Linked DNA regions of Schizosaccharomyces pombe. The gene in region 1 interacts genetically with each later gene. Each region holds a gene or a part of one and is shown on either strand. Other genes may lie near its edges. The genes, in order: nhe1 and pzh1.

Evidence for each region.
Region 2: of nhe1 (region 1) and pzh1, a mutation in one rescues a mutant of the other (synthetic rescue), as found in Schizosaccharomyces pombe (one study listed by BioGRID).

The regions. Positions count from the first base shown.
Region 1 is NC_003424.3:50,034-54,617, forward strand, and holds nhe1 (plasma membrane/prospore membrane sodium ion/proton antiporter Nhe1/Sod2), read left to right. Parts: upstream 1-1,955; 5' UTR 1,956-2,083; coding exon 2,084-2,207; exon of another isoform or gene 2,208-2,284; coding exon 2,285-3,567; 3' UTR 3,568-3,825; downstream 3,826-4,584. UniProt on the Schizosaccharomyces pombe protein: Sodium export from cell, takes up external protons in exchange for internal sodium ions. Involved in regulation of pH.
Region 2 is NC_003424.3:1,527,065-1,532,078, forward strand, and holds pzh1 (serine/threonine protein phosphatase Pzh1), read right to left. Parts: upstream 2,709-5,014; 5' UTR 2,448-2,708; coding exon 900-2,447; 3' UTR 501-899; downstream 1-500. Other genes in the region: SPOM_SPAC57A7.07C (homocysteine methyltransferase), read left to right, coding at 3,125-4,051; U3 snoRNP protein Utp14, read right to left, coding at 4,249-5,014.

The DNA.
Region 1 (4,584 bases):
AAATAGTATAATAGTGCGCGGTTTCGCAAGTGCAGATTTAATTTCGCTGCTCGTTTATGACCTTTTTTATTTTCAAGTAACATTTTGACATATGCAGATAAACTTTAGTTGTCTATACATGCGTCAGTTGGCCAAGTTACTCATCCGCGATACTTCAGCGTGATTTGTTACACAATAAGAGTAAAATTGTAGAGTAGAATTCGTATTTTCCTATTTATTTATATCTATTTTATCGGTCATTTTATCTACTCGCTTTTTTTTTAATATCATATTTTTAGCAATGCCATTTACAGCTTTTTTTCACCGCCAAGATAAGTCTTGTATTCAAACAGCGTTGCTTATCGAAGCTCCTACTTTTTGAATGCTGAAATGCAGTACAAACGTTCAGTAATAGTACCAAATAAATCTTTGTACGTTGGATACTCTAGTACTGTACCATCAGGCTACGTTACCAAATGATGAATGTGCATTCAGAAATATTATAGCCACGATGCTAAGCTCGTACTTTAGGTGAAAGACATGTTTCATTAAACATATCAGGCCCTCTTCACTATCGAAATTCTTATGTCTTTGGACCAATTGATAAGGTTTACAATCCTGTATCATTAGGTACAGTGGGTTAACTAGCTAGTGTACTAGATGACATGCAATCAACAGCGCTTTTAAAGAAATATTTAAAAATGACATTTCTTTATTACTATAAAAAAATAAAAAGAATTGTATAAAGTCTCGGTTGTTATCCTCTTAAATTAATTAGCTCAATGGCAGATATTACAATATACGAAAAATTCAGTGACCAATCTGTTGGGTACGATTAGGGCTGACCTCATCAAATTATAGTCTCGTTTGTTCAAGCTAAGTAAAAAATTAGGCTTGCTTTACAGCGAAAATAATATATATTCATATATAACAACGGTTTATTGTTTAAAGGCTAGAAGTAATGAAAATCGTCTTTTATAAAAGTCTAAATAGTATGAAATTTGATATTAAGTAAGCGAGTGGCCTTAAACGCTCTATATTCTGGATCTGCAACTCATGGGGTGAGACTCGGTTGTGTCTATGTAACTAACCTTGCCACCACATTGTGCATGAAAGCAAATGATTCATTTAAACGTAAAGTGTTTCTCGTTTTATTTGACATGAAAGGAGCTCTTGAATTCTTCCTAAGTTGTTCATGAGGAGAAATTGTCCACTGAAAAAGAACAAGTTCAAACATTCGCTCATGACTTTTCTCCTGCCCGTAATCGAAATACCAAATTCCTTCTGTGTTCGGTAGTCAATACCTTGGCCGTTATCTCATCAATTAACAAGTTTCCCCCACCAATGTGATTATAGGCCTGGCAATTCCTTTGACAGAACGTGTCAACTGGATATTTGTGTAATTTCGTCGTTCTCGTTAATCCCATACAGTTTTTCATTGCTAATTTAACTCTACATATGGTTGAATTACAAGAGTGCTTGTTTTATGCTCACTACTTCCTTTTTTAAGTAGTATAAAAGATTGACTTCTGTTACACTAGTAATCAAATCCTATAGAAAGAATTTTCAATATTTTTGATTTATTGCCACTTATGTCATATTGAGATAAAATGCCTTAATCCAATCAGGTCTTTTTAGCTAAGTTATAATCAAAGCTTTTTGCTGCCGAGGTATTAATAGCTTACAAGTGAGTACACAACACCCTTTCAATCAATTTAATGGTGCTAAATTTATATAAACATACGATGTATAACAATCGCACAATATTTACAATTCACTATCCTGCTAAAATTGTATAAAAAAAAATAATATAACAGCCCACCTCAAATGTGCTTAATCAGTCTCAGTGAATTTAAAATTGAATAGTTACTTAAAAGGCATGTTTTTTAAGTTGATAAGCGTTAAAACCCAAGTAACAAGCTTTGTTACTCCAATCAAAAAGATAACTAAGGTACCCCGGTCCTCAAGTATAAACCACAGGCATGCACGCATCAGTCCGTGGCTAACTGTATCTTTTGCCACATTTTATGTCGAATACTCTAAAAAAAATATTATAGGAATTTATTACAAGAAAACATTCTCTTGTGGATATTGCCTAATTACTATGGGCTGGAGACAACTTGATATAGACAAAGTCCATTTAGCTTTAATAGTGGCCGGGGGATTTATAACATTTTTCTGCTATTTTTCAGAAGTTTTTCGAAAAAAATTACTAGTTGGAGAAGCTGGTACGTTGAAGATATTGTATAGGGTGGTTTTTGAAAATTAGCAATTGATATAAAATAAGACTAATACTAGTGTGTAGTTCTTGGAAGTATCACTGGATTAATATTTGGGCCTCATGCTGCTAAACTCGTAGACCCTTTTTCCTGGGGTGACCATGGAGATTACTTGACAGTAGAGATTTGTAGAATCGTACTTGATGTGCGTGTGTTTGCTTCTGCAATAGAACTCCCCGGTGCATATTTTCAACATAATTTTCGAAGCATCATTGTAATGCTATTACCAGTTATGGCTTACGGGTGGTTAGTTACAGCTGGATTTGCATATGCATTGTTTCCACAAATTAACTTTTTAGGATCTTTGCTGATCGCAGGATGTATAACTTCTACTGATCCTGTTCTATCAGCATTGATTGTAGGAGAAGGTCCATTAGCTAAAAAGACTCCTGAACGGATTCGGTCTTTATTGATCGCTGAGTCTGGATGTAATGATGGAATGGCGGTTCCTTTTTTCTATTTTGCTATCAAACTTCTTACTGTTAAGCCATCGAGGAATGCAGGGAGGGATTGGGTGCTGCTTGTTGTGTTGTATGAATGTGCATTTGGTATATTTTTTGGGTGTGTAATAGGGTATCTTTTATCGTTCATTTTAAAGCACGCTCAGAAATACCGTTTAATTGATGCTATTAGTTATTATTCCCTTCCGCTAGCGATACCTTTATTATGTTCTGGGATAGGAACTATTATTGGAGTTGATGACCTGTTGATGTCCTTTTTTGCTGGAATATTATTTAACTGGAATGATTTATTTTCCAAAAATATATCTGCTTGTTCTGTACCTGCTTTTATTGATCAGACTTTTAGTTTACTATTTTTTACCTATTATGGTACAATCATTCCCTGGAATAATTTTAATTGGTCTGTTGAAGGCTTGCCTGTTTGGCGTTTAATTGTCTTTAGCATATTGACTCTAGTTTGTCGTCGATTACCGGTTGTATTTTCGGTGAAGCCTTTAGTTCCGGACATTAAGACATGGAAAGAAGCCCTTTTCGTTGGACATTTCGGACCAATAGGGGTTTGCGCAGTTTATATGGCATTTCTTGCAAAATTACTGTTGTCCCCGGATGAAATTGAAAAGAGTATTTATGAATCAACTACAGTATTTTCAACACTTAATGAAATAATTTGGCCGATCATTTCGTTTGTTATCTTATCCTCAATCATTGTTCATGGTTTCAGTATCCATGTATTAGTGATTTGGGGAAAGTTAAAAAGTCTGTATTTAAATCGAAAAGTCACCAAGTCCGATTCCGATTTGGAGTTACAAGTAATAGGGGTTGATAAGTCACAGGAAGATTACGTTTAGGAAAGCTCTTTTAATGTCAATTCGGATTTCCAAATTATTTTCAAATGTATTGTGAATCGCTGTCTCTGGTCAAAAAGATTACTGCACTCATATTTTGAAATTCCTTCTATAGTTGATATATACTATAAGATAAGTGATTCTCAGAATCACAAGGCTAACCACCAACAGGGATGGAGTGTATATTTTTGTTGTACATATATATTATCTACAATAGAGTAATTTTCGGCTTCTATAATTCATTTATTTTCTTACTACTCTAAAAATATTGTATAATTTCTAAAACTGATCAAGATACTGAGAAAAGTACAAATCGTTATTTAATTTGTAATTTATTTTGATGGCTAAAACTTACCAATATTCGTTCGCTTCAAACAATACCAATCTTACGAAACACCTTACGCTTCATCAAAGTCTACTTTGGATCACCTAATATTTTATTATTTGTTGTTGTAATTATACAAACTAATACTATTTTATGTAAGAAACTAAGAAAACGGAAAATCAATAGCTACTTTGTGTATATAAATAGCAATCAAATTAAAACTTGATAAATCTCACCTACTAAAACACATCAACGTACTTCAAAGGGCCTAACTACTATAAGACTTGGTAATATTTAAATAGTGTTTCTATTAGTAGGTAGCTTCAAAGTATGTATAAAGCTTTTGGAAGTAGATGAAGTATTGAATATCTCCTCCTAGATCAGTTATTAACTAAGTACGACTGAACCGGTGCTCCCAATTTAGTTGCAATCTATTTAGATGAGCTAGAATATAATTACACAGTAATCGGTATGGACTGAGTTTTAGCACCAATAAATTCTCACTAAACATAACTTCATCCCAAATATATACATATGTTTTGCAGAGAAACACCCCGCAGTTTATCATATCGTAAATGTCAGCAATATTACAATACGTTATGACTCTACGTTGCGTTATATGCCACATGTTCTATTTGCTCTATCAACTGTAAATAATAAGTTATCAAGATAAATTTATTACCATTTATGGTAAG
Region 2 (5,014 bases), 1.5 Mb from region 1:
TAACATGATATAAAAAATTATATTGACGAAGGTGGGGTTCGAACCCACGCCCACATACGTAGACTAGCAATTGCTTTCACCTGAAGCTAGCGCCATAGACCACTCGGCCACTTCGCCATAACTACTGAATTTTAGAAATTTAGTGTATATATTACTAAACACTTTGAAAGAGCCATTAAACTGTAATCTTTAGAGATTATGTGTGCCTTTATTTAATATATCTGAATTCGTTACTATTCTTCGAATGATTCATTGAACCTTGAAATAATGTGATAAAATATCTTGATTGAACGAAAAAGCTGACACAAACAAAACAACGCAGGAGATTTATCAAAGAACTGCCTACTTGGCAGCATTATGCAACAAAAGTAGCTTACTCATTATACAATAAGGAAACCAAAATACTTATCACAAATGGATCATGGAAAGAAGTACTTAAGTACGATACCACATTCAACTTTAGTTTTCAAAGTGTTGTTTTAAGCCCATCGTATGGGAGATTAGTAATTGATAGAAGATTTACAAAGAAATGGATACATTTTCGCTTTAAATTTATTTAATGCTAATAATAATACTATAATAATTGTTTATTTCCTCCTCATGTAAATTTTTTACCTACTCTTTCGATGTTCAGCAGGTGTCGGTTAGCAAAAATAAAAAGCAAGTTAACTGTCACTATATGGAAATGATTGTGTTTTTATTAAAAGAAACAGAAACTTATACTAAACGTGTCAGGATGGAATTGCCCTCGAACCGATAAAGTGAACCAAGGACTTGATCCATCACCATAGTGACTATAACATAATAACAGATAATACTCATTTAAGAGAATAAAATAGTGTCCCAATAAAACCGCTAGATAATTTCAAATGGAGACCAAAATAGAAAAAATAGAATGCTTACACGCTTTGGGTAACCTGCTCAGCAGGGGGAGATTGATAAATAGCCATACCACTACGCTTGCTCTTTTTTAATTCTCGTCGAATTGCTGCCTGGTCGAGAGGCTTTATAAGTTCAAAGGAACAAAGCAGCTCTGAATTAACACTCATCACGGCCCCCCAATTATCAAATTCCCCACAGTAATTAGGGGCAGAAAACACCGTACATAAAGTTCTGTCATTAAAAAATTCATAACCGTCTTCAACAACCATGTGAGCACGACAGATTAAATCAAAGTCGTGCTTGGCCAAAAATTGCCGGATAACGTTTTTGTTGAAAACAAAAGAAACACCTCGTTCATTATCTTCCCAATCGTTTTCAGTATCAGCAGGATCTGACCATAACAAATCATTCAGCAATCCATAGTCAGGAACGTCAGTAGGACGAGGAATCTCCCGTATGTCATCCATATGACTTAACGATGGAGAAAGACCACCATGAACGCAAAAAATTTTACCGGCTACAACGGACGCAATGGGTAAGCAATTAAAGGTGTTTATGAAAGTCTTCCAAATTTTGATATTGCAACGTCTTTTACACTCATCGTAAAAACCGTAAACGCGAGTGATATTAGCGCATTCATGATTGCCCCGTAGCAAGAAAAAGTTTTCTGGATATCTGATCTTGTACAAAAAGAGCAAGAGGATGGTTTCAAGACTCTGCTTACCACGATCGACATAATCGCCTAAGAATAAATAATTAGAGCTCGGAGGAAACCCACACATTTCAAACAGTCGAATTAAATCGGAATATTGACCATGAACGTCACCAACGATTTTCACCGGCGGGGTCAATTCTAAAAGTGTCGGCTGCGAAAGAAATATTTCTCGTACGGCCATACAAATGCTGGTAATTTCAGCATTCTTTAGACACACACTTTTACTACTTTTTCGAGAATAGCCAACATGGATCAATCTTTGAATCATTTCATCTACGTTAAGGCTAACAACTGTTTCAGGATCATCAGGATCCGTAGAAGAAATTGCCGAATTAGGGATAATTACGGGCCCCTGCTGATCTTGTGGATACACAGGACCATTATGCTCAGAAGCTGAATCAAAGTTGGAGCCAATTGGGCCAGAGCTGGTTGGTGAGGTAGGTGATGTTGGAGAAACGGCATAAGAAGAAGAAGAAGAATGATGATGATGATGCTGGGAAGCGGCCGTAGAGGGACTAAGCATGGCAGGCTGGTTAGAAGGATGCGGCGACGTCGGAGATTGAGAAGAATTTCCCGAATCCTCCTGTTGATGCTTTTGCAACACAGCCGGAGATGTAGCTAATATCCCAGGAGAAGGAGGAGGAGGAAGGCTTGGTGGTGTTTCGGGATACCGGTGACGACTATGGGTTGTATCAGTAGACGTTCGGCGATCATGATTCGAGTCTTTGCCCTTCCCCAGGACTGTTTTCAGAGACTTTAAAGACTTAATGGATCCTTGAGTGTCTGACCGAGAAAAGGATGGGTAGGAATCGAGCTTGCTGTCGGCGTGTTTACTGCTCCCCTGTCCCATTGTATTTCAATTAATGGTAGATTCCGGGAAACTATTCCACTTTGTTCTATTTTTATTTTCTTTTTTACTTCAAAATCGAGACTTCGTTGCTTGCATTTAGTGCCAAAATTAAAAGGTTTCCCAATTGTACCTAGATTTTTTCTATTTTTCGATATTTTCCGTAAATTAGTAGATTTTCTCTTCTTCAAGTAATCCTGGTCTATAAAAATGTTTTGCTTTGCTGACAAAACACAATCGTTTAAAAATTTGTAAGGTCGTGGTGAAGAATGGGTTAACAAGTGATGGGAAGTGTAGTATAAATCTGATAGACGTAGTAGCCCGTTCCATCTTACTCGAGAACTGAACTCGCTGGGTCCATCTAGTGTGGTGCAACGATGATGGCGCACTTACTGTATAATAACTGCAGTGTATTCCAAAGTAAAATAAAAGGCGCAATTGATCCACGTAAATTAACGTTAAATTAAATATGGAAAAATTTCGCGTTACGTTATATACTAGTCTGATTCTTACTCAAATGTTTTTGTTTTGGGTCGATTGGGTTTCTGATTGTGCGATATTCTCTAAACTGTTGTAATATCCATCAAAAGGCAGTTACATCTGTTAATACTAGTGTATAACCTGAGATACCATTTTTGCTGTTCGTTGAACTATTTTTCCCAATTTTTGAGTTTTCCAAAATGCTTATGTTAGACGGTGGCTCTACTGCCATTCTTCCAAAGCTTCCTGAAAGTATATCTGAGTCTAGATTATGGACCTCTGAAGCACTGGTGCGTTATCCAGAGATCGTTGTTAAGCATCATGAAGAATTTTTAAAAGTTTGCGACATTATTAGTACTTTCACTTATCAACTGGATGCTTCTATCTACGACGAAAAGGTAGAAGGTGTACCATTAAAACAGGTTTACGCAAACAGCATTGGGTTACCTGTTTATGCTAGAGAACATTTGGGTTTGCCCAACAAATATATTGCTTTATGTCTCGGAAGTCATGCTGCTACTATTCCTGGATGTATGGAATACAAAATGATTTATGATAAACCCACCGATTTTGAAATGCTATACAATTTTCATAAAAACAGAATTGAAGCCATTCAAGCATCTAATCCTAAAGCTTTCGAAAAAATTGACTTCATTGCATTTGAAAGCCTTCCTCACGTGACTGAAGCAGAAGTAGTATGCCAACTCATTCAAGATATGAAAGGTTGGTCTAAGCGTTGCTGGATCACCTGTACGTGCCCTGAGCGCAGCACTATTGAACGAGTATCGTCCATTATCTCCAAGATACTGAGCATCAATCATGACTCTATATGGGGCATCGGTGTTAATTGCTTTCACCTCAGTTTACTCGAACCCATCGCAAAAATGCTATCCAGTCTTTTACCATCCAACATAACTGCTATTTTGTACCCTGACGGCCGCGGGTTGTATCAAAATCCAGACGGTACTTTTTCACCTGGCTCAACAGATCATCCTGCCCCTTCACCTGAAGAATGGTCAACTATAACGGCTAAATACTCAAATCTACATAATGGAAACCTGATACTCGGTGGATGCTGTGAAACAAATTATAATCACTTATCTTTACTCCGGGAGAAAACGAAGTAAATTATAACCATTTTAATTAATTTTCCTCATGATATTAATATATTTGTATTGAATTAATTTTTTTCTTGTTTAAAGTATTTACCTCAAAATATATATTTCTTCCCAATATCCCAAAATCCATTACAAATGTATCTAATCTACTGCAAAAGATATCAATCTAATAACAAAAATCCAAAACTCAATGTACATATAAGAATCTAATTAGGTGCCTTAATAGGATTAATGACTTTACCACGTTTGGTAACAACTCTGGGAGCAACAGCCTTATGATGTGAAGCTCGAGTAGTCCATTCTGGTCCCATAGGCAAGTTAAGAGATCGTTCATACTGTTCTCGTGATTCAAATGGGAACGGAACACTATCAGCAGTAAGCTTAGCAGCTTTCTTGTTGCGTTTTTCATTAATAATCACATGCTTTAGCTTAGAATCCTTCCGCTTTGACGGATCTAGTCCAGCAATTTTTTTAACCTTAGGCTTAGTCTTTCTTTGTTTTACGCCAACACCTCCCCATGAACCCCAACCGGGCAAACTATGATCTTCTTCTTTCGGTGCATCCTCTTGAACCCAGTCTTCTTTATCCTTTTCAAATTCAGCGACAACATCGTCGCCAGCAAATGCTTTAGCAACAAGCTCTCTCTGCTTAATTGACAAACGACCTTTGGTTGGCTTTAACATAGGTACCGAAACATCAACATCCGATTCCGCTTCCGACGCTGATTCAAAAGCCTTTTCTTCAAAAATTAAATCAGGCTGAACTTTAGGTTCTTCGACAAGTTCTTGAAGGGAGGCAACTTTGTCCATTTTTAACTTGTGATTCTTTTTGTCTGCCTTAGAGCTGTTTTTATCCAACTTTTTGGCAGAAGAGGTCCTTTGGTCAGGTACTTGCAACCATGGATTAGTTTCCTCAGTTGCTTCTAATGGTGATTCCTTTTTTTTTCGAGCTTCGGCCTTCTTTTGTCCTTCC